Linked DNA regions of Drosophila melanogaster. The protein of the gene in region 3 interacts with the protein of the main gene of each other region in a pairwise test. Each region holds a gene or a part of one and is shown on either strand. Other genes may lie near its edges.

Evidence for each region.
Region 1: the proteins of Trx2 (region 3) and NO66 interact in a two-hybrid assay, tested with the Drosophila melanogaster proteins (one large-scale study listed by BioGRID).
Region 2: the proteins of Trx2 (region 3) and Eip63E interact in a two-hybrid assay, tested with the Drosophila melanogaster proteins (one large-scale study listed by BioGRID).

Annotation. Positions count from the first base shown.
Region 1 is NC_004354.4:4,317,597-4,327,599, reverse strand, and holds NO66 (nucleolar protein 66), read right to left. Parts: upstream 8,163-10,003; 5' UTR 8,097-8,162; intron 8,035-8,096; exon of another isoform or gene 8,031-8,034; 5' UTR 7,973-8,030; coding exon 6,011-7,972; 3' UTR 5,855-6,010; downstream 1-5,854. Other genes in the region: CG12693 (uncharacterized protein), read left to right, coding at 42-309; mRpL33 (mitochondrial ribosomal protein L33), read left to right, coding at 5,469-5,509, 5,566-5,669, 5,733-5,782; mei-9 (meiotic 9), read left to right, coding at 9,545-9,747, 9,806-9,967. UniProt on the Drosophila melanogaster protein: Oxygenase that can act as both a histone lysine demethylase and a ribosomal histidine hydroxylase. Specifically demethylates 'Lys-4' (H3K4me) and 'Lys-36' (H3K36me) of histone H3, thereby playing a central role in histone code.
Region 2 is NT_037436.4:3,510,969-3,520,983, forward strand, and holds the start of Eip63E (Ecdysone-induced protein 63E), read left to right. Parts: upstream 1-4,782; 5' UTR 4,783-4,966; exon of another isoform or gene 4,967-5,560; 5' UTR 5,561-5,805; coding exon 5,806-5,860; intron 5,861-10,015. Other genes in the region: ImpE2 (Ecdysone-inducible gene E2), read right to left, coding at 234-1,634.
Region 3 is NT_033779.5:9,608,733-9,619,585, reverse strand, and holds Trx2 (thioredoxin 2), read right to left. Parts: upstream 6,421-10,853; 5' UTR 6,211-6,420; intron 6,173-6,210; exon of another isoform or gene 6,154-6,172; 5' UTR 6,070-6,153; coding exon 6,046-6,069; intron 4,285-6,045; coding exon 4,138-4,284; intron 4,055-4,137; coding exon 3,905-4,054; 3' UTR 3,182-3,904; downstream 1-3,181. Other genes in the region: GlcAT-S (glucuronyltransferase S), read right to left, coding at 1,746-2,256; gcm2, read right to left, coding at 7,051-8,024, 8,084-8,174, 8,240-8,984, 10,678-10,688. UniProt on the Drosophila melanogaster protein: Participates in various redox reactions through the reversible oxidation of its active center dithiol to a disulfide and catalyzes dithiol-disulfide exchange reactions. As a reducing substrate of peroxiredoxin 1, thioredoxin 2 is preferred over thioredoxin 1.

The DNA.
Region 1 (10,003 bases), on a different chromosome or scaffold from region 3:
GTTCTCACTAAAATCGTTTGTTAAAAAACGTTTTCCAACAGAAGGTACCGGGAGACGTTGAGCCAAACCGGACTGGAAGTCGAACTGCAGAAGGAGGTTTCGAGTCTGAAGGAGAAAATGAGCTTTACTCGCCGGCTGATCTTATACATGGCTGCCGTCAAATGGCAGTCTTTCCGTTCTTGCATATACCACGTGGTGGCCGGAATACTCGATTGTGTGGCGCCATCGTTCACCACACCCCCAATGAAGGACAATTTACTCCGAATAGGCATGGTCGCCATCTTTTTGCTAAATGCTAGAATGTATTGATTTGGCTGAAGGATGCGAAAAGGACTCTGGCTACGCATCCAGGGACGTGCAACGACGAATGAGAAGCGTATTAACTAGGAATCAGGTAGCTGAGCAACACAATACCACAAATTTTATGCGTATATTAGATATATTTCATCTTTAATGTGCCCACGGTTTTTCCTAAACGAAAAACAAATTTCGAATAAATTTTGTACCAGTCTTAAACTTTACATTTTTTCTTATTTCCTTTTTGCTTTAAAATAAAACTAAAGCGAAATAAACTCATAACGTGCATGTCCAAATCCCATTTTTTCCAACTCACTTGATTGCAACATCCGAATGTGACGACTGTCCCCACACATTATAGTTTCGTTGCGGCGGACCGCAAAATACACAATTCATTCTAATTTCGAAATGGTATTCAAACACGATTGACAGTTTGGTAGTGAATAGCCAATAGCCTGCCAGAATGTTATGACTGTTTGTATTTGGTCAATAAAATACCCATTACTTTTGCACACAGCAATGTGCTTTCTCCTCTACTTTGAACTGTAGACTGTAACTCTGCATTAAGTACTTGGGGATTAATTTGTTTCAATAATTAGTAGCCTAACACTGAAATGGTCTTGTATTTAATTAATAAACACTGATCAAGTAGCTACTGACGATATGTTCATTGGACACAAAGAGTGTCGAGTAAATATGATACAAAGTGCGGAAAAGCTTTACAAAAATTACGCATACGCCGTGTGCTCACTTCGAATATTGGCATTCATTGGAGGGCCCAATGTCATCCGAATTACGGAATCGCTGGCTCAACTCAAGCGAGGTGAACTGAGTCGACGTAGGCACAAAGGCCTTAACTCGATAAATGCATAATACAATGCGAACCATAATTGTGGCAATGGGTATGAAAGTGCGAATGGCAATGGTGTTCATTGTATGTATGTATGTATGTACGTATGTATATTGTATCATCCAAATGGATATGCCAAATGGAGCACGGAGACTCGACGTTGGACGGACACTTTTATTAACAAACTAATCTGCAATTAGGAATGTAATTCAGCCCGCTGATATTTTCGCCTACTCATCGACGAATATAAAACTACGAATACCAAACAAACCAAACACCTGCACTCTGCACCCGGGCTTCTATATATAGGCACAAAACAAAGCGATGTTTTTTTTTTTTAGGCACAAATGAAGGGCGAAAACTCCAACGTTTTATCTTCGCATTGGTAATCCTCGGCGATTTTTGATAATTTACGATAATTCAAGATTATTTACTGCATACAAGACCATAAATTGTTACCAAGCAATTTCCATATGAGAGATAACAATACATATTTCCGGAACTGGGAATATGCATATGCACTATCTATTACAAAATGAGGCATGTGCTTGGCCGCCCTTTCAAATCCCTTATAATGCCTGCGACTTAATAATGTAGTCTCTGGGGAATAATAAATATTTTAAAAGCAAGCGATGACTCAGTGAACTTGCAAATGAACTTAAGATACCCCGAAATATGAATGTCATGACTAAGAACTTTTTAATTCACAATATAATCTAAAATCAAACATGTCATTTTGTATGCTACTTCAGTTTATTTTGCAATAGCAAACAGTTGCATCCTTTTTCTCTCAGTGTCCTGATCATAGTTCGTGTTGGCTTGTGTGTTTAACTTACGTAGATATGTATTTAATTAATTGGCTTCGGCTTTTGTTGTTCCTGCTTTTGCTACCTATTTTTGTTTGTTATTCTTGTTTATTTATATTTGTTTGTTTTTTCCCGCCTTGCGAATTTCAGTTTGAAGAGCATTGCAAGATTTACAGTTTGATCAGTCGGCTGTCGCACTCTCTCGCTCTCTCCACGTTTCCTTAAGTTTACTCACAACAGGTAACACTGTATTTGGTTGCACTTGTTTTTTTTATTTTTTGTATTTCAGCTCACAGCCACTGCAAAAAATATGCGATTGCTGTGAAAATGTACACACATAAAAAAAAGAAAAAGAAATAGAACAGGTAATAATAATACAATGGGTAAACATGCGGCAAACAAAACCGAAACTGACACCAAAACGAAACACGTTGCCGTTTCGCTCTCTCTCCGTGCCGTGTTCCCTTGTTTATCGCGGATTATATTATGCGAGCGGACTAACGGGAAAAGCTCCGGCGGACGACCACTGACCAACTGAGAACGGAGAGCCAGCAACGGAGAACTTTTATCTCAAGTACAGTGGGGCCTTTTTGTGCAGACGGATAAGTGCTGATTTAAATAATTAATCTGCATATGAATATATTGAACAAACTAAACTGCTCTATAAATGCTATGAAACTAAACAGTACACATTGATGACTATCCACTTTTATGGCCAGCTATATACGTGCGACGAATGACTACTGTACCGGCGCTCTCTGCTGCTCTTGCCCGCTCTTTCTGCGTGGGTGATGATCGTGCGAGAGAGCAAGTGCAAATATGATTATTGTTCCTTCGCCTGCCGTTCTCCTCTCCATTTCTTCCGCCCCATCATGCAGCCACACACCAATACCTATGGTGCGTTTGTGTGGGTGCGATGAGTGTGCGACGGCGTTCGCTTTAACGGTTTGTTTGTTATTTTATTATTATAGCTTTATTGCACAATCCCAGGCCACCCACCGCCCACTGGCACGCCCCCTTTCGCTCGGTTGCAGTTCAAACAAACAAAAGGAAATGAGGGAGAAGCATAATAAAGCTTCTGATCGCCACACTTGCCACAAAAAGTAAGCTACGTAGAACTACAGTAGAGCTTGAATAATGCACATTTGCAGCTTGGGCGAGAGATGGAAAATATGAGTATTTGCTAATTAACACCTACAAAATTAAAAAGAAAAAAAATGATAAAGCTAAATGGGAATTGGATGATTTAAAGTATTTGCGGCTCAATTTTTTTAAATTTGTTTTGTTTATCGGTCGTAAATCATTATTTTTTTTATTTTGAAATAACAGTGTCGAATAACTCAGTGATTTTACACTAAAGTTTAAATATTTTAAACTCTTAAATTTTTCGAGTAAAATATTGTATTGTTAACAGAAAAGTGAGCGTTTATAAAAAAATATCAATCTTACAAGCGATTCATGAATATGTTGTACCATGTCTTTTGTTTCTTTCAGTGCACAGTGGCTGCGTGGACGTCGACAGAGGGCAAAACAAGTGGCCGTCGTTAGTGCGAGCGAGACGCGGCGACCAAGTGCGGATGGGTGCGAGCGAGAGGGCTGGCGGACTGGCAAATTGTTGTTTGCTCTGCCGACGTCGTTTTTTGCGTGTGTAAATTTGAATACTTCAATTTTATGTGTGCTTTTCCCTCCCCACCACATATCCACACCATCCTAACAACAACAACCAGCACCTTGTGTTCGTGTTTGCGTCGGCGTGCGCGCAAGTAAATTTCTTCTAATTTAATATTTTGTTTATATTATTTATTCATATACTTATGTATTTGCGTAGCCCCTCCCACAACTAACCCTCCTTCGAGCACTTGTTTGTTTATGTATTTCACCTGCTCCTGCTCCGCTCCAGCCCACGTTTCGACCATTTCTTGCCCCTCGTCACGGCCAAGTTTACGTTTTTGGTAAATCATTTACAATTTGGATTTCCGATCGCTTTTCGAAAACCCCCTCTCGAAATATCAACAATCAAGCACTTTGCCAGATGCACAGAAAGAAACTGATGTGATTTCAATGGCTTACTAGCTGTTCGATATTTGATTAAGTTGATGTCTCTAAAGAAGGAAAACGTTTTCCACAACTTTTCTTCTTAAACTCGGAAAGCGATCTGCATGCAATCGAAAACTTTTACTGCAGTCTTTCATTCGTACAAATGCGCTACGAAAATAATTTAACAACTTACACATGGATCACATTACCACTTTTATCAATGAGTAATTGTAAATATTTGTTGAAAGCTATTTGAATTTTTGCCGTTAGTTTTTAGTGATTTATGTACTTAGGAACACACTGAATTCCAATGTGCAATTCCGGCAAATTGGCTACTAAGCGGGCTTTAAAAACTAATTTCGCTTCTGCAACCCTCAAAACAGAGAACTTTTGAATATGCAAATGCAAATCAACAAAAAACAAAAAAACGTATTTTTCGCAATCTGCCTCCTACCTTAGATTCTCCGCAGCTCCTCTCCACCTCCTTTTCACGCTCTTGTCTCTCTTTTGAAGCTTCCTTCGCGTTCGCGTTTGTTTGACTTTGATTCCGTTTGGTTGGTTTGTTTGTTGTTGCCACTCTTTGGCTGTTTCTGTTTTTATGTTGTTATCTCTTTCTTGTCAGCTTCTCTGCACTTTCAAAAAACAAACACTGTAAAAAAAAAATGAGTCTTGTTTACCACGCGCGAGTATGGGAAATTCTCGGGAAACCAACTCGTAAAAAAAATATTTAAAAGGGAAAACAAGAGCAGGGCAAGGCGAAAAGGAGTTACAGAAAGCGCGTGTGGCTGTGATTTATTTTATTATACGGTTTCGCCCACAAAGGACTTCACTGAGCTTTTAGTGCGTCTATGTTTTTCGTTCTATTTTTCCAAGGCTTCAGTTTTTTTACACGGAATTTTGACCGTTTTGTTTTTCGTTTGTTTTTATTTGTTGTCTGTTGTTGTTGGTTTCCGCAGCACAAATGAAAATTCGCGTCCGTTTCGCACGAGTGTTAGTGATGTAAAAAAGCATCGAATGCATTGACCACCGATGTTTCTCGACGATACATTTCAGTGCTTGCGCTTGGTATCGATTGGCTTCTGTTAACCTCAGTGGCACAGCTTGCAGTCTCTAGCACGGACTCAAACCTGTATGTTAACTTTTTAATATTTAATTGGCAGGGACTTCAACCAAAGATACATATGTGAATGACTTCTACTAACCACATTGCATCTGAGAGCTTTTTAGCAATTTCGAAAGGAAGGCTTTAAAACAGAGAGACATAAATGCATCAAATATAAATATAGTAATATTAAATATATACTCATCATACGTGGACACCGATTGTTTTTCAAAATATCCGGGTGAAAAGCTTGAGCCCTCGGGTGGTAATCGATAGGCGCAGTCAGCTGTTCTTCGTTCCTATCGTCTTGCTTGCACAATAATTTCAGCGGCATATTTCCATAATTCACTGCATTTTCCCCATTTACCGAATCAAAATGCGTCTAACTAACGTTTTGTTCAAAAAGGTGAAGAGCAAGTGAGTAATTTGGACATCCAATTTGTTCTTTTTGTTAAAACCAACCGTTTTTACAGGCGCATCATGGTCGTACTGGAAAGTGTGGTCAGTGGACATCAGTTTAATGCTTTTCGCGATCGCTTGGCCGACAAATTGGAGATAATACGCTTCGATCCGTACAGTGAGTGCCGGCCATCACTGACTTTATGCATATGCACTGATGTTGCCCATGTTTCTTTTTCAGTTCAACAGGAAAGCCTTTATCGTGAACGCAAGAAAATCCGCAGCGCCTAAGATAACCATTTTTTGTTAGTGAAAAAAATAAAATTTACAACTATTGGAAACACCAAAAAACAACCGAGATATATGTGCGAATGTGGGTGCTTTATTTTCGGCAGAATAGGAGCATTATAAATCTGGTTACATATTTATACAAAAATATTAATTTACGCTCGTTTTAGATACACATTCGCATCGATACTTAATTCTAATTATCAACAGCAACTCGCTTTCGATTGCCGTCTACTTAAACGGCTTCTCGGTCATAAGAAGACCATGCTCCCACAGGGCGGTGGCGACCTCTATCTTGCGAGCTGAAGACTCCAATGGCAACTGATCAATGGTGAGGTAAAATGGATAGGCCGATATGAGGAGCTCAACGGCTTTAGCTTCCTCTGGCAGAATCTCCATGAAATAGGGCTCGTACTTGCAGTAATCCAGGCCATTGTCCACATGGTGGTAGATACGCACGCTGCCATCGGACTCGGTCACCAGACGCAGAATGTTGGCACGCAGCAGGCGCACGGATGTCTTTTTATTGAATTTGTAATCGCAGACGCAGTTGCCCTGCTCATCGGCATCACTGCGTGCCCCATGAACAGTGCGCACCTCCTCCGAGGGCAATACGATCGGCGGAAGTGCCTCGTGCTGGAACTTCTTGGCCATCTGGTCGACGGCCTCATCAATATCATCTTCGGAGGGCATCAAGTAATTGGTCACCAGCTTCTGCACATTCTCCACCAGCTGTTTGCGCGACCCGCAGTCATTTCCCTTGTAGGCATTGCCCAAAACTTGAAAAGTGTGCAGCGGCAAGCCGCGACGCAAGGCCACACTCCGATCGACGGCCTTCTTAAGAACCATGGGCATTAGTGTCTCTAGAAGATTGGCATATGCCTGCTGTTGGTAAACACTCAAGGTAATGTGCAGCGAGTGCTGTTGCTCTTCGGTGATGGCCTGGTGAACAGCGCCTCTCGGGAAATATAGTACATCGCCGGCGCTTAGTACCTCATCAATTATGGGCTTACCCAGCTGCTCTTGATCATAGTTGCCCGACGAGATCCTGGCCAGTTGATCGGCCTTCTTGGGCGGCTCGTACAAAAGCCAGCGCTTGCGTCCCTCCACTTGGATAACGAAAGCCTCGATGTCATCGTAATGGGGCGCAAAGCCCTGGCTATTGGGTGGGGTTAGGTATAGATTTGCCCCCACCTTGCAGTGAAAGAACTCCTGCAAAACGGTGCACACCTGACGCAAGCGAATTAGATAGGTGGAAGGATTCAGTAAACGAATGCTGCAGCCGTCCGAATAGAAGCCCCACACAGCTGGTGGCAAGGCACGACCCTCGGGATTCAGTGTCTCACGCTTGCCGTTCTTGTAAGTGGTCACATCCACGTTGACGGTGAAGTCCAAATGATGGCGAATCAGTATTTCGTCAAGCATCTTGAATGATATCATACTTTGAAAGTATTTGGGATTAGAGCGCTGCACCAGGCAGGCGGTGTGCTCCCAGAAGTCTTTGAAGAAGACTTTAGTTTGGACCGGAAAGAGTATCCACTGCAGGACGCGACGACCCTCTTCGACGCTGTCGGCTTTGTGAGTTTCTATTGTTTCAGTCTCCTTTTCGTCATTGTTATTATTGCCCTCTTCGGTGGGTTCCGCCTTAATTATTTTAACTAATGAGTTCACGGCTGCTGGGTCCTTTTTGGGCGGCTGAGGACAGGAATTGGCCTCCCCTGGGGGCAGCGATTTGCGCACCAAAGGGCAGGCTAAAGCCGCGCCATTAACCTGGATCGGCGAGGTGCGCTCCAGTCCCAGACTACGTGCTTGCTTGCGTTTGGTGGCCCTGGCTCCTTGAGTAGCTTCCGATTCCTTGGTCAACTTACCGGCTTTTCCGGTATCATTATTGTTGGCATCCGCCTCGGCCTGAAGACGTCGCTTGCGATCTGCGGTCTTAGCGGCTGCGGCTGACCCTGACTGGGTCTTTTTGGATGTTGATGGACCGGCGTCATCGTCGAATAATTTAGAGAAAAAGGCATGCACCTCTTGGTCCTTGGTTACGGCGAGCATATCAGATACCGAATTGGAATCATTCGATTCTTTATCTAGATTGGGCTTCTTCTTGTCTTTAGCTGTGCCGTTATTTGCGTTTTTCTGCATTTTGCTGTTGCCTTGAGACTTGGCGGCCGCGGAAGTAGTCGCCTTTTTCATTTTGCAGCTTTTTTAAACGACACTAGGTCTTAATCCTTAAAGTCTTAAACACTCACGCCTGGCTGTAGACACGTACTTATGAGCTTGACTAGTAGCAGAATGATATTGCTTTTTTTACACATACCTGTATTCAAAACGTTCCTGCACGTGCCTACTGTTACAACTATTATTCGCGCCGGGTTATCGATGATTTCTGCGAGCTGCCGTATCGATGGCATGGGGTAAGTGGATTATAAGGTATGTCTCTATGTTTTTACAAAAATCGCTTGCTGTATCTAAACAATTGCGCTAAATGAGCAAATTTAAGAAAACTTTTAACTGAATTAGAGACAAAATTGCCGTATCGATGGCATGGGGTAAGTGGATTATAAGGTATGTCTCTATGTTTTTACAAAAATCGCTTGCTGTATCTAAACAATTGCGCTAAATGAGCAAATTTATTAAAACTTTTAACTGAATTAGAGACAAAATATTGCCGTATCGATGGCATGGGGTAAGTGGATTATAAGGTATGTCTCTATGTTTTTACAAACATCGCTTGCTGAATCTAAACAATTGCGCTAAATGAGCAAATTTATTAAAACTTTTAACTGAATTAGAGACAAAATATTGCCGTATCGATGGCATGTGGTAAGTGGATTATAAGGTATGTCTCTATGTTTTTACAAAAATCGCTTGCTGTATCTAAACAATTGCGCTAAATGAGCAAATTTAAGAAAACTTTTAACTGAATTAGAGACAAAATTGCCGTATCGATGGCATGGGGTAAGTGGATTATAAGGTATGTCTCTATGTTTTTACAAAAATCGCTTGCTGTATCTAAACAATTGCGCTAAATGAGCAAATTTATTAAAACTTTTAACTGAATTAGAGACAAAATATTGCCGTATCGATGGCATGGGGTAAGTGGATTATAAGGTATGTCTCTATGTTTTTACAAACATCGCTTGCTGAATCTAAACAATTGCGCTAAATGAGCAAATTTATTAAAACTTTTAACTGAATTAGAGACAAAATATTGCCGTATCGATGGCATGTGGTAAGTGGATTATAAGGTATGTCTCTATGTTTTTACAAAAATCGCTTGCTGTATCTAAACAATTGCGCTAAATGAGCAAATTTAAGAAAACTTTTAACTGAATTTGAGACAAAATTGCCGTATCGATGGCATGGGGTAAGTGGATTTTAAGGTATGTCTCTATGTTTTTACAAAAATCGCTTGCTGTATCTAAACAATTGCGCTAAATGAGCAAATTTAATAAAACTTTTAACTGAATTAGAGACAAAATATTGCCGTATCGATGGCATGGGGTAAGTGGATTATAAGGTATGTCTCTATGTTTTTACAAAAATCGCTTGCTGTATCTAAACAATTGCGCTAAATGAGCAAATTTAATAAAACTTTTAACTGAATTAGAGACAAAAAAAAAAGTTTTCATATATATTAACCTTTTGTTCTCTAACCATATCGCGGTAGTCTGGCAGCCCTGTCACAACCGGTACCGATAACCACGACCAGCTGATTGAACCGGCATATTTGCGAAATTAAATCCTTAGCGATTGTATTTAATTATGGCCGATTCGTGCGCGGAAAATGCCGCCAAAGGGACGGAAAATGAGCGGCCGAAGGAAGTGGAGGCCAGCGCCGACACCGTCCCACAGGTGGAGGAGGGCGTAGAGGAGTATTTGAAGCGTAAGAACATGGTCCTCCTCGACTACGAAAAGCAAATGTTTCTCGATTTGGTCGAGGCCGATGGTCTGCTGGTTTGCGCCAAGTAAGTCGTGTGTGCTATTCCTATAGTCCAGTCTAACCCAGATATTGAAATACCATAGGGGCCTGAGCTACGACCGCGTTGTAATCAGCATCCTCAAGGCCTACAGCGATTCCGGCAATCTTGTGCTTGTGATCAACAGTTCTGACTGGGAGGAGCAGTATTACAAGTCCAAAATCGAACCCAAATATGTCCACGAAGTGGCCAGCACGGCCACCGAAAGGTAAGCGCTCGCAATTCCTAAAAAATATACATATAA
Region 2 (10,015 bases), on a different chromosome or scaffold from region 3:
TAAATATTATAAGTTATTTGTTTTATTTAATGATTTGTGTTCTCTCATTTGTTTATATTCAAATTCCTGGGCTGAGTATGAAATAAATAATTTGTTGCGGTGCATGCACTTAGAAAACTAAAGAAGCATTTTCCCTTTTCGTTCTCAATTTGAATCGAAAAATGTCGACGAAAACGGGCGTCAGTCGGTTGGTTTGTGGGGTTAGCTAATGGCAATAATGGCATCTCAACCCATTAGAGAGCCACTGCATCGGTGGCCACTGGATGATTCTGGACAGCATTTCCCTCCTCGCCGGCATCGTCGTTGACCACAATAACCTCGTTGGACGGTACGCCAGCATCCTCGAAGGAATCATCAATATTTTCGCCACTCGCACGCAGCTCATTATCGGATTCCGGAACGAATTCACCCACCTCATCATTGGCAGGATCGATTTTGTCATCTACGGCTGGCTTCTCTGTGGCCTGAGTGGCTGGTGCGGCAGCTGGTGCGTTCTGTGGACGATTGCCGCCCAGGAAGTTGATAATTCCCTGCAGAGGATTGCCACTTTGCTGGGCAGGCGGTGCGGCAGCCGTGGCATTGTTATTGCCACCGAAAACATTGTTGACAAACTGCTGGATGGGACCTGGTGGACGCGGAGTGGTGGACACCGCCTGCTGCTGCTGGCCAGTCAAGCTGGACAGGGTGTTCTGGAACTGATTGCCCAGGTTGCTGGCAAACTGTTGGATGCCCTGGAAGGCCTGGGTGGTGGCATTGACGGCACTTTGGGCCGCATTTTGCACGGCCTGTTGGGCGGAGGTGATGGCGGCCTGGGGATTCAGGAAACCGGGCACCGTGGGAGCCGGAGTTGCAGGTGCCGCAGCGGCGGCATCATCCGCCTGGACTTGTGCTGCTGCTGGAGCGGCAGCAGCAGCTGGCTGGGGCTGGAACTGATTGAGGAACTGACCAATTGGCGAGTTCTGGATCAACTGCTGGACAAAGTTGCCCTGGGTGGTGCTCTGCTGGGTGGGCGTGGCTTGGGTGGCTTGACGGACCTGAGGATGCGCGGCGTCCTGGTTTTCCGACTGCTCTTGCTCCACCGGATTCGGGGAAAGTTCCTCGGCAGGCACAACGACAGTCTCTTCAGCTGGCAGAGATTTCAGAATGTTCTGAGCAGGTTCCTCTTTGATTTCAGTGGCCTCTTTTTTGATTTCTGGCTGCTGAACTTCTTCTTTGATTTCCTGAGGTTTCTCCTCAGCTTCCAGGGATTTTTCCTTCAGCTCCAGGGGCTTAGCATTAGGCAACTCGTTGATCTGCTCTTCAATCTTCTCCTTGAGCTCCTCCTTAATGTCTGCCTTTAAATCTTCCTTAATCTCGTCTTTTATATCAGGCTTAGGCTGCTCTTTGATTTCAGGCTTAATTTCTGGCTTAACTTCCTCCTTGAGATCCTTGGCTTTCTCTTCTTGAGCAATTGGTTTCACTTCCTCTGGCTTAACTTCCTCTGCCTTAACTTCCTCTTTGACCAAAGACAAAGCTACTGGTGGCTCCTTATCCTCGACAATGGCCACAGGAATATCGATCGCCTCCTTGGGCAAGTTGAGTACTCTGGCTTGGCTAATGGCCAGGAAAACCAGGATCAAGGCAACGGGCTTCATTATCGCGACTTATCTCCTATATCTCCTTCGATTTCAAGATGTGTTCACTAGCGCCTCACGGCCGCAACTGTTTGAAATTTCTTTAGGCCCATCGCATTTTATACAAACCACCGGCTGCGCAGCCGCCGTCGACTTTGTTGGCAGACAAACAAGCACACAGGGCTAAGGTATGAGCAAGAGGTTGGGGAAAAGTGGTAGTATCAGTGCCATCGTCTTTGGCCAATTCTTGCACACTGAGTGTCATTGAACTGGACCAAGTTGGTCTTGCATTGCACACAGGAATCGAGAATCAGAAGCCTTTTTGGCCACGAAGCTGCACTTGTAATTGGCCAAGACGTTGGGACAGCGAAAAGGGCTGGGACCATCATCAATCATGTTTGTTTTATCGGCCATCAGTGTTTGTTTTACTCAGGGCATATAGCAGAAATAAGTTTATAGGAGTATAAATAAGAAAATAAAAAAATAAAAACTAATTTTGGGAAAAAAGAAAATAGGGTTTTTTCATTTGAATACTTTTTTGATTTTCAAGATTTTGATTTCAAGATTTTGAATACTTTCCTTGTTTGTTTAGGACTGTAGTTATCTATCTTGTTGTCTTAGGATTAAAAACTGTGATTACTATTAAATTTTACTGAACTGAGATAATCTTGGGATAAGCTAAACATCCGTGAAAAAATCTATTGCTGTGATAATTGCTAAATGTTTTTAAAGGTTACAAAATTTCTCACATTGACCAACTGTGCAGCGATTAGTCTCTGTTGCAGTCTTCCCTGATCATCGATTGGTGCATGCAACTCCCCCTTTTCCGCAGGTTTTCCACTTTTTCACTCTCATTCCTTGTTGACTCGATTCCAGGCAGCGACATTTGATCAGCAGATTTTACTGGTTTTCTTGTTTGGCTAAACGCTCCTACAAGAAACGCATTTGGCCCTATCGGCCGTTCTGCTGACTGGATGGTGAATCTTGAGCTCATTGGATCTTTGGTCTTCGATGGAAACCCGTTCCCCAGACCGACTTAAATGCAGTGTCGAGATGCAGACGCAGACTGGACGGAGAAACCTGCTCCGGCTATTTTTAGAGTCAATTAGCTTTGGACCGACTGTCTCTGCAGGGAAGATGCATCGCTGGGATGCGTTTTCCCCCGGTTCTGGGTTAATAATTCATTAGAAATGCACAGAAACCAAACCAAAACGCCCACAAGACCGGCGAACAAAGCTCCAAATGTGTTCTATGCAAATGAGAACATTTAAATGTAGTTAAATGGGTCAAACGTTTGATGGAGAAAACGTTGCTGTGCATAGAAGGAAAACTTATCTCCTGTCCACTTGGGACTTTCATATGGTGATCGATCGATCGATCGATTGAACCATTTGCAGCTCGATCGGCGGTGGTCAGAACTCGTTCTGTGGCCCTTTTGGCCAACAAGAGGTCTGCAAACAGGCCAAACCTGCAAGGGCCAAGACGATTTACAACCAAAGATGATAAAAAAAAAGAACGAAATTCAACTAAAAAACGAGGAAGCACTGATTTTTAAAAACAGCGTTTCAATACCCTTCAATTCGAGGAATTATAATGATTCTTGGCTGGTACAGCTTGATATGGGTTATAAGTTTATATAAGTTGAACTATTGCATATTGTTAATATTCCACAAGAAGTGCTATCAAGTATTGCTATTAAAGTTAAAAATATAAAACTAATCGCCTGACTATTTTAGTATACCTTTTCTGAGGGCATCAAGAGCAATCAAAGATCGAAGTGGATTGCAAAGGACATTGACTTGAAACTCTGGGATCTCACAACTGATCTCTTTCAGATATTTTATGACCCCAGCTTGTGGCTTTTAATTCTGCAACAAAATTGATTTCGGCAATGGGAAGAACACGTTTCCCCCCGAGTTACAAACAAAAAAAAAAACTCATTTCGGTTCTGTCGATTTTTATGGCTTTTCTTGGAGTTGGTTAATCGCCTTCTTTTTCTCTGATCTCTGGCGCCCAAAATATTTTTGCTCGAGTTTCGGTTTTTAGCTTTGATATTATGCAATTGCTAGCCGTACTCTTTTTTACACAATTGACTGTCGAATTAGCACCTCACTCACATCCAGCGACAGGTGACGATAAGGCGGGCGGGCAGTGGGCGTGGCAGCAGCAACAACAACACACATTACTCTAAACGGTGGCAACTTTCACTCAACAGCCGTGCGGAATACTAAAAAAAAAATCAAAAAACAAATAAATACCCGTGCAAATTGGGTGACAAAAACAGCAACAAAATGTCAGAAAAAAAAAAAAAAAAAACTGGGAGCGAGTGGGAGAGTCAGGCGATCTTCGTCATCCAAAATTACCTCACTTATCAACCTAAGCCGATTGTTGTTGCCGAAATATTGGTGTCATATTTTCTTGTCAAGGTCACAAATTTGTTGTCAAATTGTAAAAAAATGTTTATTGGGTCTAAAACAATAGTGAATAATTGTAAACGAATTTCTGCCAAGGTCAGTTATCCCTTTTGAACTTCGAGAAAAATATAGAAAAAAGAGAGTTTAGCCTTAGAAAAATTTTCAGTGGCTTTAATATTTATGTTGGCTGTTAAATAGGTTTGGAGTCGTAATAAAAACGTTGAATTCAAAAATATTAAAGAACTCAAGAAAATGTTGTATTAAAACTATAAAAAACATTCTGTCAAATAACATGATATTTTTATATATTAACAAAACAAAAATGAAGGAACAATTTTATATTATTGTTATTTGCCCTCAGTTGCAATCCACATTTCTTTAAAGTGCAATATGAGAATTCAGTTATTTCATTGTTTTAAAAACTTTGAAAGCAGGCTGCCAGAAAGTGGAAAAGATGACTTTGACGTTGCCGGATAGTTGTATTTTAATGTACTGTTAACCTTGGATTTTAACTTGTTAGTTTCTATAAGATCTCTAGCTAGTTGCTTTACCGTTCCGATTAAAAGGCTAGAGGAACCGCATTGTTTCTTGAAATTTAGAGAAATTAGTATTGTTCTTGTAGAACTTAAGTCAATACAATTATTTTTTTTTAACAGAATTCTGTTACTTGCGTGCTGTTAAAAGTTAGCAGTATTTTCTGCAAAGTCATATGTTTTGGTATTTCTCAGCTGCGCCGCCTGATTTTTTGGCGCTGACCCCTGCCTGGCCACACTGGCGATGTGGTGTGACCAAATTCGTGCTCGCTCCGCGAGTCGCCGTCAAAAAACAACTGTGAAATTGCACAAGAAACTAAACAAATAATCGCGTAAAATTACCGAAAACATGTGCAGCGGCCGTTAGCAGCGTGCGGCAACTAATCGAGCCAGTGAAAACGTGCAGGTGCGAGCGAGAAAACACGCGTACGCGTCACTAGCAACAACAACAAACACACAGTGCACCAACTCTCGCATAAGCACGCACACACACACACACACACGCGCGCACACATGCATAAACACCGACGCACATGCAACAAAAATAAAATAAAAACAAAAGAGCAAGCGAAATAATAACAGAAATAAATTTGATAAATTCAATTATAAATTAAGGCAGCTGCTTGTGTGCTAAGCAAAAATATTAAATAGAAAGTCTTGGCCACTTAAGTGAACCAAAATTAGAGAAGCAGCAGAGTGCCCAAAATATCAATATATAGATTTGATATCTAAAAGTAACGAAAGTTAACTTAAAACCTTAATGGTGGACAATGGATCAAAAAAACAAAATCCCTACTAAAATAAATTCCAAATACTTGCTAAATGAATGAAACCCGCAAATAAAGTCGATTCTTACCAAGATAACCAAAACTAGCTTCATGACTTTTAATTCTTGTTGTTTTAATTTTTGTGCACTTCCTGGTTACGGAACACCTGGAAAACCCCATCCTCGCCTTTTTCCACGCTGATTAACAAATCTCGCGTTTTTCCCCCCTATCAGCTGACATACGCATACAAAGCCCATCCAGTTGCCACCCCCTACTTCTTGCACCTGTAAAGAACAGGTGACTAATACACTGCTCGCGAAGTTTGTCAGCTGCTGGCGCCGTGGAAGCAACAACAACAAAACTAACCACATCCACATCGGCAACAACAACATCGGCTTTCTACAGAGCAGCGACGTCGGCGTCGGCAGAGGCCTCTGCCTGCACAACACCAGCAACAATAAAATCAAAAACTAAAACTATGGCCACCACCACCACAACAACAACAACAACGGGGGCAACAAATGCTAAAGATGGTGAGTTATATACTTAAAAGGATTTAAGATTAAAGAAAATATATCACAAGAAGTAAAACCCTTAAAAATCTTTAAAAAGAAACAGTAAATGGTGACCCACAAAAAACTGAAGCACAGATGCAAGGGTGCACATACAAACGACAAGTCGGTTAAAGTTCAAGGCGAACGAACAATTTAAATTGCAGGTTTCCGGTCAATGCCACTCTGTGTAATTAAACTAAAGTTAGTTGGTCGACCTAGATATTAGTATAACCTTTGGCTAAGAAAGACTGACATTTAAAGGCAATTAAAGGAAGGTTAGGTTTTAAGAAGAGCCATAAAACTATGGAAATAAACATACAATATCTTTAAATGTTTGGAAGGTTTTTCATTAAGGTTCTTTCATCTCCAGATGGCGGCAGAGAAATTAAAAAAAAAAACAAGTAAAATTCCATAATTCGCCCGCTTATCTGCGCTTTTCCAAAGACTTGCACATTTGTTTGCCCGGTACACAAGGCCGTAATCCTAATCCCTCAAAAGCTTAATCTTTTGTTTTGTATTCCGGGATCCGGGCAAAAAACCCTGAAACAGCAATCCCCACCAACGCATCTGACGTAACTTGTTGAGCAACCACGATTGCTGGCCGATTTGTTTTTGGACTTCTTTTTGGGCTGAGGAAAGAAGAAAAGTTTTATTAATATCAATAACCAAAAGAGCGAAGCGAGGGCAGCGAATAAGGCAAGAAATTAATGAATGCCACTGGTCGCGGGGAATAAATTTGAACAAAAAGCGAGGCACAAAGCAGCAAAAGCAAAACAAACCATAACCAGCTTAACAACGATAATTAAGAAGTGCCGGCCAGCAAAAAAAAAGTGTAAAAAATTACATACGAAATTTAATTGCCAAGGCGGAAAATGGTAGCATGCGGGGGGCAACAAGGGGGTATGGGGCCATGGCGAAGGTCAGCTAGGGGCCTGAAGGTCATAGGCATTTTCGACGTTGTCGTCACCTCTTGAACCCGCTCGAATTTATTGATTTTACACGCAGCAGCCGCAAAAAAGAGAGGAATAATCACAAAAACAACGGCAGCTACAAAATCATGCATATTTCTCGTTGCCCGATGTTTTACTACACCTTGAACAGTGGTCATCGGGTATGGTGAGCTACTTAATTAAAAAAACTTTTCATTATTAAGTTATTGCGAGCAGTAATTGTTAACGCCGCTAGGTGGAGCTCGTGTGCAATCCCGATAACAGTGGCACTCCTTTTAGTTGAATAAATGGTATGTCATAGTGTTGGCACTCCACCAATGTTCTTTGTTTCGCTTCGCGAGCATCCACTGTAGCCTTTATTCATATTTGTGTGCCCCAAACACTGGCACACAAAGCCAAACACACACAGAGAGCGACTTGTGCGGCTTTTGCTGGGCACTCGAGTAGTTCAGTGCGGGGCTTATGCCAAAGGCCAAATGGAAAACCTGCTTTAAGAGCCAGTGAGAGAAGCATACGAATCAGTCCAGCCACTGCAGAGCCCAAATCCCCTCCATGGCCACAGTTTGATGCTGAAATCGTGTGTTGTCTTTGGGGCTTGATAAACTGTAGCAAGCCCACAAAAATCTTCTAATTAAATCAAAGCTAACGGTTGCCGTTTAACGGTTTTCGTTCATAAAACTTGGCCAAAAAATCTAACTCGCTGTTCTTTCTGAGTTTTTTTGTTTTGTTTTTGCTTAGATACCATTGCCAATTTTAGGTTGCCATTTTTATCCCAACATTCTCATTTTGAGAGTCATTTTCTGTGTTATTTCTTATCAACTAAAACAAAAGGCAAAACTTTGATAAGCCAGTTGACACAGCGGGAAACATGATTCATTTGAGTGGTTCACATATTACATGGACTTTGGAATTTTCACTTAATTTAATCAATACGTATGTAGGTATGCACAAGTGATCGTAAATATTTAGAGTATACCTGACAACAATAAAATGCATTTTTAAATACACTGCACTCTAGCAACGAATCTTGTTCAAATATTTATTATTCAATACTATGTATTCGTGAGTATGAAATGTAGTTTCTTCTCATATATCCCCCTTTATTAAGTTATCATCAACTGGAGTAAGGAAACACTTCTTTATCAGCTCACTCTTTCCCTTATCTGATTACTATTTACATAACATTTTTCTGTTTATTCATTTGACTCTTATTTCTTTTATCAGTTGTGATTTTGCTGCTTATCGCGGCAAATGCAACTTTACCCATGGCAAATAAAATAAACAAACATCATGTTTTTTTACACATTTCTCCAACCCAGTTGCCATTTTCAATTAGTGTCTACAGCTGAGGGTCAACACGAAATGCTCTATAGTTTTTTTCAGCATTCAGGTAACCGAGCGCCCAAATCGCTGATAACAGCGTGGTTTTTTTTTAATATTCAAATATTTAATCACAAAGCAGCAAAACCACACACGCGTGCTCTATGCTGGCCTTTTTATTTGTCGTTGGCTCGTCGGATAAATGCGAAGCAAATTTTTGCAATTAGTGGATCGCTAATAAACCATAGTGGGCAACAAATGGAGAAAAGCGGAAAAAAATAAACTCAAACAGCAGTTGGCATATTGACATATCGGTCGCATTCAAACTGAATTCCCACAGCTGCCGATGCTCCCTTTTTGTGTCTTGTTTGCTCGCTTCACGTGCTTCTGGGCCGGCTTCATTTGCCGAATGCATTTCCACCGGCTGGGCAGGCGTCATTTTTCAATTGCCCACCGACTCCTGTCGCTTTCCCAGCGCTTTCCCAGCCACGCCTGGAGTGGCAGTTTGTCATGAGCGAAGCGGCCAGGTGTCGCTTTGCTCAGCGCGCTTCCTGTTGCCCCACACAACACTCCTAAAATAAAGGAAAATTAACTTTAAATGTATTAACTTAATAGTGTTAAACCCAATCAAGTTGTACGCTATTTAATATTAATATGATAGATATTACTGGCTACCTGATTACTACATACCACGTTTGCTTAGTTGATTTTGATTTAAGCTTTCCGAATTCGTTGTGCAACACTTAAAACATCATAATTTTCTAGATACCTACTTGTAATATTTTCTTTGAGTGCATCAATGTAACCCAGGCACACTCAACCCAGCTCTGTTTTCGCGCCGGCTCTTGGGGATTGCAATTTGATTTGTGGGCGAGTCAGTTGCGGTGTGAAGACTTTGGCTAAATTGCTGTGAGACTTTACGCCAGACTTATGAATGAGTTTATTGTGCATTCTAACAACTTAACTGGGCCTTCAGAGGCTGCGAGTGCACAGCCTGCGCCCCGGTTATATTTCACATTTAATTGTAACGACTTGAAGGTGTCAAGAAGTTAACCCAGCTCAAGACCATCGGAATGCTTTAAAAGTGCATTGTTGCACTTTTGGTGGGATAAGTACGAGACTTTTGAACCACAAGTAACTCGAAAAATTGTATTATATTTCACGAAAATAATATCTTTTACCACATATAAGGCATTCCATGACCTCTACCACTTTCTTTCCTGGTTAAGTGAGTCACCAGAATAAATTTCCATAATTATAACCACTCAGGGTATTTAGTTTCCTTACTTGCACCAAAGTTCGCAGCTCATTTGGCATTGTGCACCCGCATGGTGCATTATATTTTACACACGTATGTATCTTCTCAACTTCCCAGCTAATTTGTCTTGAATTTCCCTGGCGCACACCTCACTTAAGTTTCCCTGCTCTTTTCCTATTTTTTATTTTTTATATTTTGTATTTTTTTCTTTTCTTTGCACTTTGGTGCTTCCGCGCTAATTTGCTTAGCGTAATTTGCATTTCGCAAATGCCATTCGAGGCGTGTGAATAAAAAAAAAAAAACAGATACAACAAGAAGGCGAACGCAGGGAAAAAAGTGTAATTTGCTGTCAGACTTTAATGAATGGCCCGAAGTCCATGTTAAGCTCTGTTTACCGAATATTGAATATCCGCCCCCGCCGCCCTAATTGCTGCTAATTACGCGCATAAAATTCACCTCAACCCATTCCAAAATCGTCTGCGTCCATTCTGGCGTTCTGTTTAATGTTCCCCGCTTCATTACGATTTTCATTGCTCGAAAGAGCCAAAAAAAATAAAAGAAAAATATAAAAGAAATGGAACTGAAGAAAGCGCTGAAAGGCCCGGA
Region 3 (10,853 bases):
AGTAATTTTAAAAAGAAAGAAGCTCGTTTTATATACCTGGCGATACACTTATCTTCCCTTGCAGATTGCAGGCCACAAGCCAATATAATTGAACTAAAAATTTCTATTATACATGTGTTTTAGATTCCGCTGAATTGGCTTTCACGCCATGCATTTCAAATTACTCTGGATATATGAGTGCAATTCGCAGATTGTAAATATTTGTGTAGACAATTCGATGGCAATTTGCTACGGTAGCATGCTTAAAGGTGCACATTCAAAGTCGAGCAACAATACCTTGTATAAAGGAGGGGGCGGGGGGTCGTGACAGATAGCACTCGACACGCGCAATTGAAAAGATACTGAAATCGACTCGAAACAGATGAGCAGAATTTGTATTGCACGAGAGCTAGACGAATTATAAATATATATTCATATTATTCAGGCTCACCATAATATGGTACAACAAAAGCGATTGCCATACCCATAGACCCCCTGTACCCCTAGTTATACAAGATGTTGATAAGATTGGGGCGATGTGTGAATTATACTCATGAAATGAGAGGCAAAAAACTGCTAAAAGCTTTTTTTCTTTGCAGAACTGAGCACTGCGCAATCTAGAATCTGGGAAATTGTGGGGAAATGTGCAATTAGACAATTGGTGCCACTCAAATCGCGCACTTGATTTGGATTTTCTTGACTAAATCAACCGTTGATTCGAGCAACAAATTCCGTAGATGAAGATAGATTCATGATTATTTTTTGTGTTTTTTTGTTTCGGCCAGCCCGATCATTGATCGCAAACTTGAATGGTCCACCTTATTGCATATTAGCCTTGAATCTGGATTGCCGCATTTTCGTTCTGCAAATTCAGCTGTATTTCGAGAACTTTATTAGCCAATAAACTCGTGAATAAATAACTAAAACATAGGCTGCAGATACAAAACAAATCTGTTACCTAAAATCGAAAAGGTTTGTCTGATTAGATTAAACCAGTAGGTTTAAAGTGGTCAAAACAGATTAACCTTTTTATGGGCCATTCAATAAAAATGCAAAGTAAACTGGAAAATTTGACCTTGTTCCGGCTTTCGCTCATTGCAATAAAAAACGGCCAACAGGCGAATCGATGTAATTGCCGCTGCATGCGCTTGTGGGTGGGCTACTTCCATATATTATATATATATATATATGTACATCGCGTTTGGCGAAGACAATAGTTACCAAATAGATCCAATTACGGTTAAATAATAAAAAGCCCAACCTGACTCACTAGTAGCCAAAGTCGGAACAGCGACGAGCCGACGCGTTTCACGCGATAATTACCGCATCCAATAACTTAGAAGTGAAGTGGTGCAGTCACATCGACTTATGTATGTATGTATAATGCTTCGATATCACGTGAGTATTATAAATAATAAATAAACTTTTTTCGGATACTATAGTTTTTTTCAGTCTGTATTGCCACTCAGTTGGCAAAGCGCTTTAACTGCTCAAATGTTCTTAGCTCTCTCTTCTTTCGTTAAAAAAAAAAGAACAAAATAACATAACAGGTAAAATTTGTTTTCTAATTCAAACAAACGTAGGGCGTTCACTAAAGTCCCCCACAAAACGTAGGGTGAACTAGGCTTTGATTGGCAGTGGGCCAAAATGAAAAGTGAAAGTGGTGGCAGAGTGGCCAATTCACTTTCGGCCAGCAGTCGTGAAAGAGCGCCGCCAACTGCATTTGCCCCCATGGGATGGAACTTTAGAGTACAAGCATGACTCACGGATTCTGGGATCGAAACGATGCCTATTTCGGATTTGCATTTGCTTGGTCGTTTGCTCTTCTATCTTGAAATTCCATTCATATTCGTAGATTTCTTGCGCTCTATGACTAAGATTCCCTGGGAACTCCTCTTCACCTGGATTCCGGTCATCCCCCTCGTGCTTGTCAGGTCGAGTATATCTCAACAGCCAGTCAGCCGGGCGGGATTCCATTACTGAGATCCGCTGCTTACCTAATCCATGGTGAGATCCCTCCTCCGAATCCTCGGAGCCACCGAGGCGAGTGTCCCCGCTGAGGGTGAGGTAGCAGAGGGCGACGAGGAGCAGGAACAGTGCCCCACCTATCAGGCAGATCCTCCTGGCCACACCCCCCTTCCTGACCATGGGATGTGGTGGATGGGTGGGGGTGGTGTTGTTGCTGCAGCTGCGTGAATGGCTCTGGTGAGGCCGCCGCTCGATGTCCTCGTTATCCTCGTCGGATGTCTGCGACTCGAGTAGCCTGGCACTAGACATTTATTGAAATATTTTGGGATACGATGGTGTAGGCGCTTTCAGCTGGGGTGGTGGTGGTGGCGATGGTTGTGGTGTTGGTGGACGCGGTGGAGCTGCCACAACATTCCCCGTCCATTTGTGGTGAGCCGGGCGTACCTCCTGGTTTTCGCAATCTTATTATACAACTTTCTAGCTGCGACCGACCACCCGAAAATTATGCAAATTGCCTCGACATCTCTGCACTTTGGGTGCTCCCCGTGCTCCGATTTATTTCCGTGCGCGCTGGTTGCTATAAAAAACCATCCAATGGCGAACTTTTGGCCGCAGCAATGCCGCGAATTACGAGGCGGAAGCACTCAAAACAGGACGTCACACTCAAAAATCACAGAAAATATTGCTTATTTCTGACCGACACCCGCGCGACTGTCTCTCACTCTCACGCTCTATTTTATTGTTTTCCACAGCGATGCAATTTCCCGACGTGTTGTTGTCACCGAGAGTCTGACACTACTGAAAAAAAAACACTACTGAAAAATCGGGCAATTTTCGCTCCCACCACCAACACAGCTGGCGCAGTGTTGCATTCGGTTTTTGTCCCCACTAAGCCAAGTATCGATTGTTCGTCCAAGCCTAACGGCTTATTTTCAAATGTTTAAAATAAATGTTGAATTAATTAAAAATAGTTTCTTAATTAATCACTTTGTTTTTATATTGTCTCCCATTTACTTTCGTTCTTTAACTTTATGGCAAGAATCAACTTGGCAACTTTCGATATGCTGTCAAACATAATTTGGACAAATTTAAATCTTTTGATATTATTGATCGCAAGAAAGGTACCTTTTACCTTATTTTCATTTTCAAATAAGTTCATTTATTTATTAAATTTTTTAATAATGCCTAGTGATATTCTATAGTTCAATCACGGATTCAAGGAAATATATAATTTGTTTTTGAATTTCGTTGTCAATATACATATGTAAAAATATATTTTTTGACAGATAAAAAGAGCCTTCTCAAAATGGAAATTTTAAAATTAGCTTTAATCTGGTGGATTTTAATTATGAAATGGCCATTTTGATCACGCACTTGATATGCCTTTGGAGTATACAAATTTGTTGCCGTATCTTATCTAATCGGTAGTTACCCGGTTTTAATCGTTATTACTTAACCGTAACGACATTTGTCTGCTTGTTGGCTACTGATATTTGACTTGGCTTTCATTTCACAACTTTATGTGTCATTCCTAGATCCGACCTCACCCCAGGTTCCCCTTCAGAATTTTGCAAAACAATTTAATCGGTTACAAACGGCGAGTGTGTAATACATTTATTGTTTAGCGTATTCTCTTGGACAACTGGCTACAACTGCGTTTTCTAATGTTTTTCATACAAAAATGAACAATCTTTGTGTGATTTATTGATTTTGTTAACAAAGCAAATTTTACGTTTAAAAGCCACTTAGTTTCTCACGTTTGTTGCTGTTCCAACTGCTGCCACTGCTGACCTTCACCTTGCGAACTGCACTGCAGCTCTAAGGGATTCAAGGACAAGGCGGAGCAGGCGGAATGGAGCAAAACCCTGCACTTATGGAATTAATTAATTAACTAAATGTTATGAAGAAAACTCATAGGTGGATCAGGGGGACGGCCAGACGTCTATGCGCTGCCCACTTAGATATTGGCCTTGATGACATCCTCCAGACGCTTGGCGTTGGCTCCGGCGAACTCTTCGACCTTGACGCCGTTCTTGAGGAACACGAAGGTGGGCATGCTGGAGATGTTGTATTCCATTGCAATGTCTTCGCATTCGTCCACATCGACCTGTAGGAGAAGGGCATTTAGTAAGGATTTCCATAAAAAGTGTTAAGCAAATAAAATAAAGCTGAGCACATTTTTAGATTTACCTTCAGGACGACGACGTTGTCGGCGAACTGCGTGGAAAGCTCAACCAGTTTGGGCGAGATCATCTTGCAGGGTCCGCACCAAGTGGCGAAGAAATCCAGCACCACCAGCTTGCCGGATGCCTTGGTCAGCTGTCCATCGAGATCGGCCTGCAAATGAAAATGTAAATTAGTACTATCTCTGAGTAATATCATCATACATTAGCGCTAATAATTTCCCACTCCCTAGAGATGTTTCAGTAATTTTCCCTTTAGCAGGTGGTGGTCATGTTTTCAAACTTTATGATTTCCGATTGTGGAGCATTGATCCGGTGCTATTGTAAATATACATATTGCGTTGGGGAGGCCCCGCTACTATCTCGCCCGATAAGCCTGTTCCCTGCAAACACAACGTTGTCAGACATCCCCAAAGTTGCCAAGCTGTAATCAGCCCCAATAATCGCCGATTGACGGGTTAAATATGTGTGTGTGCTTCATAAACTTGTGAAATCGGGTCAATTTCATTTCAGTTTCTGTATTGCACCCATTGGGCAGCAAAGCAAATCAATATTTAAAGAATTTCCAAATTATATGTATGTATGCCGAAAGGTGTGGCGGTCGTGGGCAGTTCCATCCCCTTTCTTCCACCCATTTCTCTGCCCGTGACACGTTTTCCCAATGACCTTTAATTAATTGCTAGCGATGCCAATCGCAGAACAGCACATGCAAGCACAGAGCTCTAATGAAATTGACGATTTCAATTGGAATGGGCAACCGGTTTGGAGGAATTTGCATAAGTATATGCCCAAGAAATTTAACTTTATACACGCTATTTTTGCTAGCACAAAACCACTTGATCATCCCTATTACATATTTTAATCAGGCTTAGATCATTTCTATTGCAGACACATACGTCATGGAATGATTAATCTCAAGATGGTGATGGTACTCGATGACTGTTGGCTACAATTCAATTTGTCAACATGTATTGCTGACTCATTTTTTAAGACAATATCTGAGTAAACATAAAAAACTAAAATCAGTAGTTAAACTACTTTGTTATATTGTCTAATTCAGTATGCATAAATGTTTTGATGTTTTCGTGGATTCCTTATGCCTTCGATAAGCATTTTTTGATTTTTGAGCTTATTGTTGTGTGGTTTGCTGTATAGAACTAGACCGCGAGAGTCAATGTTTGATAGTGTTTAAGTGTGTATACAAATATAAATAAACTAATATTGAGAAATAAAATAAGAAGGCATGCTTTCACGTATTTACTTCCCAATATTTCCTGACGTAACTTTGTATTCATGAAATGGAACCGGTTCTTCACCCCGCGCACTCGCGTCTTTTGTTTTCTTGGCTTTGGATCAACTTGCATGGCGCGCAACTTATGTGTGGAGAGCACACCCTGTGCTATAGCAACTATTCGAAATATTTCTAACCAAAAAACCAGGCCTCGACCACGATAATGAATTGCAAATTCATGCCAGTCGCACACACATCCGTACATATGTGGTTTCTATAGTACGTATATCTTGTTCGCACTATTTCCGATTAGCTCGGTCCGGAATATTTCAATTTCAAAATTCGGTTTCCGTTGAGACCCGTTTTGCGGTCCACGGGATGATATCATTATCATTTCGCTGTGCTGCTATTCGGAACTTTCTCGTTTGCTCTCCGCTTTCTCGCTCGTCTAGACCGAACGTGAGTTCCTTCTATTCGCGGGAGAGCGTATGGCAAAAAGCGTAGCGAATCCAATCATTCAAAGTAAGTGGCTAATTGGAATGCCGCTTCCAATGCCATATTTTCAAAGTCCGGAGCGAAAAAATAAACGTGTAACTGGAACTGAGGGGTCAAAGGGTAGCGCTATCGAGTTACCCAATAGATGACGGATGTGATGCGTCCATAGATCCGGTTGAAGTGACTCACCTTATCTTTCACCTGGTACACCATGTTGGATGGGAGATGTGGAGACGGAACCGGTAGAAATGTACAAAAGTTACTTAATTACCACTCGGGCAGCTCTTTGCAGCACAGCTAAATTTTTTACCAAAATGAGCACGTCGCAGTTGCTTTTATAGATTTTTTACTCACGCTCACGCTTCTCATTGCTATACGCTCTCTTTTTGCATATGTGTATGTCGCGTTTGGTGAAGGTGAATTTCGAATGGATAGACCGATTGGCACATCTATGCGATAGGTTTTGCTGGCCACTATGCGATTACTTTAAATGTGAAATCCTCTTGCTGAAGATAGCGATTATAACTTGTAGTACTATTCTCTTTAGTCTGGTTATGTCTGTGTGTCTGTGTCTGTGTGTCATTGTGAGTTTATCGTAAAGCAACTCTGCAGTAGTTCAGTTTCTTACCGGTAGGAGGCTTTTTAAAAAAAAACTGCAAGCCATGTAAGCGGTACAAAATTTGGGTCTTGGCAGCCAATTTGTTTTTCTTTAAATGTTTCCGCCAATTATAAAACATCATTCGTATTAAAGTATATCTTACTATCTATCGATTTTAAACTACAAATCATTAAATGCGTCCTAAAATTACTACAGTTATGGTTAAGTGAGCACCTGCTTGTCTACATTACATGGTTTTTACCATTACATTTTACATGGTTCTTACCAACAATTTTTTTACAGCGCGACATCTATCTCTGATTTCAAGAACCGCACCATCATGACCGCTGAAAATTAGCTATGTTTGAATTGGTCGCGCAATAAGAAATTATATTTACGCACTTAAATTAAATACATTTACTTTTACAAATCAACACTTTTCATAATTTATTTGCCGAGAAAAACAATTGGTAAACCGTTTAACACTACACGTACAGATGGAAATTAAGATTTCACCACTATTTTAAACACTATGTTACTATGCTTAGCTATCGACTATGAGTAATCCTCCGGTGTCCGGATTGGTTAAGTACTATTCAATGGGTGACCGATGGGGCTAGGCCTGTAGCTGCTGCTGGGTGGTGCAAGTGGTGGTGATGGTGATGGTGGTACGTCAGCGTGGGCGGTGGTGGTGGAGGCGGTGGATGGCCAGGGGGCGCGGCCACTGTCGGCGCAGTGGATCCTCCGGCAGTGGCAAATCCACCTGCTACCGCCATTTGTTGCTCGTAGCTGGTGTAGTGATCGTAGTAGCCGCCGTATCCGACTTCCAGGCCATTTCCGGTTGCAGTATTTCCTGGTGCCGTAGTAGTTCCTGTGTCGAAATAGCTGACTCCATTATAGCCACTACTGCTCTCGTAGTAGTGATGTCCCGCTGTCTGATTTCCACCGAACTGTTGGTGGCTCTGCTGCTGCTGGTGGTGGTGCTGTTGCATTTCGTACTCCGCCTTGGGGCTATAGTAGTAATCGTAGTTGTCCTCCACATACGGCTGCGTCTCCACGGTGGCATTGTACTTAATGGTGGGTCCCGGTTCGGCCTTGCAGCTGATCTCCTCCTGACCACCGCCACCACCCAAATGCTTGATCTGCGAGTAGTTGATGAACTCCGGTTCCGGAGTGGCCAGTTGCGGGCTGGAATCATAGGCTACTGCCTGGCATTGTGTGTGTCCGTGCACGGGAACACCCATCGCAAAGCTGTTCCCGCTGGAGGATTGCTGGTATGCGGCCAGTTCCGAAATGCTGCAGGCGTAGGGCAAACTGGGAGATTTACTAGGTGCCGCGGTGGCCGCCGCTGGAGTTGCATGGTAGATGGGATAGTTATAGGTGATGTGCTGGTGGTTGACCGTAAACACATTAGCTGCCGTCTCGCAGGGTGCCGATGACTCGGATCCACTTAGTGGCCAAGAATTGGTGCCGTAATTCGAGGATTGTGACAACTGATGGCTCCTCGCCGTGGTGCTGTCATCCAGGTAGCTGCAAGTGCAGTGGCTATAACCGGCGCACTTGCCACAGGCTAATGGGGGATACAAATTGTAAAAGAAATCTTTAAATATTCTTGTTTTATATACCTACCATTATACTGATATATATCCAATGCGGTGTGAGCCAGAGGATTGCTGACAGCAGGACGCTTAAGAACCTTGCTAATCAGACTGTGTTGTTGCTGTCGTCAGAGAAGAATGGTTAAGATGATACATCCCGGGTGAATGAATGTCTATCTAAGCTCACCTTCGCCTGCTTGACCAGACCCGCAATGACCGACTTCTTGGCGACTGATCCGTTGGCTGACTTTCCAGCCAGCGGCACACGTCCAAAGGCCCGCTTGGAAACACTGGAGTTCTTCGGATCCGGACGCAGGTGATCATGCACTCCCTTGGCCTGAAAAAAGATGGCATTGCCGGAGTGCCGCCAGAAGTGGGTCACCGGATAGCCGCAGTGACCGCGACACGGTTTAATCTCTAGTCTACCGCCACGACAACTTTTGTTGGGACACGCCTTGCCCTCCTGCTTCCGCCGGGCTTTGTCGCAAATGGCTGGGCGCAGGTTGATCTTGGATCCGTTGGGCAGGGTGCAGTGTTGGGAGCAGACCAGGACGCCCAGGCAGCTCTTCTTCAGAATGTTCACGTTGTGGTTGTTCGTGTTGCGCATGGCCCAGCCGGAAATGTGCTTCTTGGCCTCCTCGTTGTGCAGCGAATAGATGTGCCTCACATGCCCGTCGCTCCACTCGTTGAACTCGTCGAACTCCTGGTCCGGCACATGTGGCACAATGGCATCATTGATGTCCCACTCCCGTTTTCCCTTGCCCGTCGACGACGACGGCATGGTCATGGAGCCACCCGCCTGCTGTTGACCAGGACTTGGACCCGGATGCACCGAATGCGTACTCTGACTTTGGGGCTGGACAAACTGGGTAAGCTGAGAATGATCGGGTTGCTGTGTGAGAAGTTGCTGCGTCTTGAAGCTGTAGCCATTTCTGTAGAGGATTTTATATATAATAAGTTGCATTTTATATTCATAGTTAAGAATACTATATTATTATATTTGAATTTTGCCAAAGAGCACAAAACATACTTTAACTTGAGTTCAGATTTTTATATCACTTCTAGTAGCCACATAATAAAAAAACACCACTGCCCTTTTGGAATCTAAGTTAAGGCAAAACTGTGAGTCACAGCATTAACTTTTAAATCGAATTTATTTACATTAAAACTCTTTACATCGAGTAAAAACTTTAAGTGATCCATTTAACTGTGACTTTATCGCCAAAGCCTAAGCATCGTTTAAGGAATTGAAATCCTATCTTAATTGCGCCCTAAACTGTTTCGTAGGGGGCCATCCCAACCCAACACAAACCAATCAAATGAAACGTTTGCCAGGTTTATGGGCCTCATGAAACGCATGGTTATTTAGGCCCAGTTTAGAGGGCTGGTACCGTTAGCCCCAAATCTTGTGCACCAGGTAATCCAAGCTGGCCACAATCGTAATTCGAGCGCCAGTTGAGGAGGCGGAGATGCATATTAAACCGACACTCCGATCGTGAGTCAGCTGGGAATCGCTAGACTCGATGGAGGGCCTCAGCCGAGATTCTCCATGTGTGGGAGTTATTAGAGAGCGAGCTCTGCAATTAGCAATAAATTTGTCTTCCATCGATTTCGAAGCCGATGGATCGATTCGCCTCGGTCCCCTGAGTGTTTTTATGTGTACTTGGAAGTCAGCAGGTTGCACAGCATCTAGCACCAAGAACCACACACCAAATACCTGTGCTACGGTTCGCCTGGTGGTCTTTGGTTTCCCCCGATTGAACCTGTTCGTGGCTAGTGGCTCGCTTTGTTTTGGGTCCGTAAATTGACTGCTCGACACTTCGGGGCGCTCGTTAGTTGGGCTTATCTGATGCTGATAGCGTCTCACTTCGTTCGAGATCTGTATTTTTGGGCCTCCTCTGTCCAGGGCTCATAATAAGTTTGTCACCTAGAAAATATGTCTCTATAAATCGAAGGGGCCGGGGGGGCATCATCATCATCATCGGCTCTTTGACCCTTTCACTCGAGCGCCGCTCCGCCTACGACTGTGTGTGGTCCGCCGGTTTCCAAGATTCGAGATCCCCCTTCCGAAATCCAACATCCAAAATACGAGGCACACCCCGCGGCTCTTTGGAGCGGATTGGACTGGACCGGAGTGCCATTAACTAAGCTGTGGAACGCGCTCAGCGTGATAATAAAGCGTTTGAAATCATTTACATTTTCCCTGACCTCCCCCGCTGCCTCTTTATCGTTTGATTTGTGGCCCATTCTTCATCCGAGATTGATCTGAGGTGTTTGGAAGCTCAACACTTACGCAGATGGCTTGGGTTTAACGCGTGTCGGCACAGTTCAGATCAGCAATAATTTGAAACATTTGTACTGAGAGCTTTTTAATTCTTCGGTAGCTCTATGCCTTGAATAATGTGAGCAAATTAATTTTTAATCCATATTCCTTTGGGTTCCAAGCAGAATAATTTAGAAACTTAGTGAAACCTATTTTAAGCATATTTCAATAATTACCATTATATTTGATAAAAGGTTCGAGAACAAAGTATATGATTATTGTCCTATTAAAAGTATTTTTTGGCAATAAAATTTCGAATTTACATTTGAAAATCTCCGAAAAAGGGACTATTTAGAACTTACATAACAACCATATTCCAATTGAAGCAGCTTCTTTAATCCAGGTATTAGGTGGTATAATTAAAAATATCCAATAAAACCTCAACTGCTCCTAAATGAGTTTTCCGCGATTCGAAAGCCCTGCGAACAGGCAACACTTGAGCATTGTAATCCAATTAGGCGACACTTGTATCCACTGG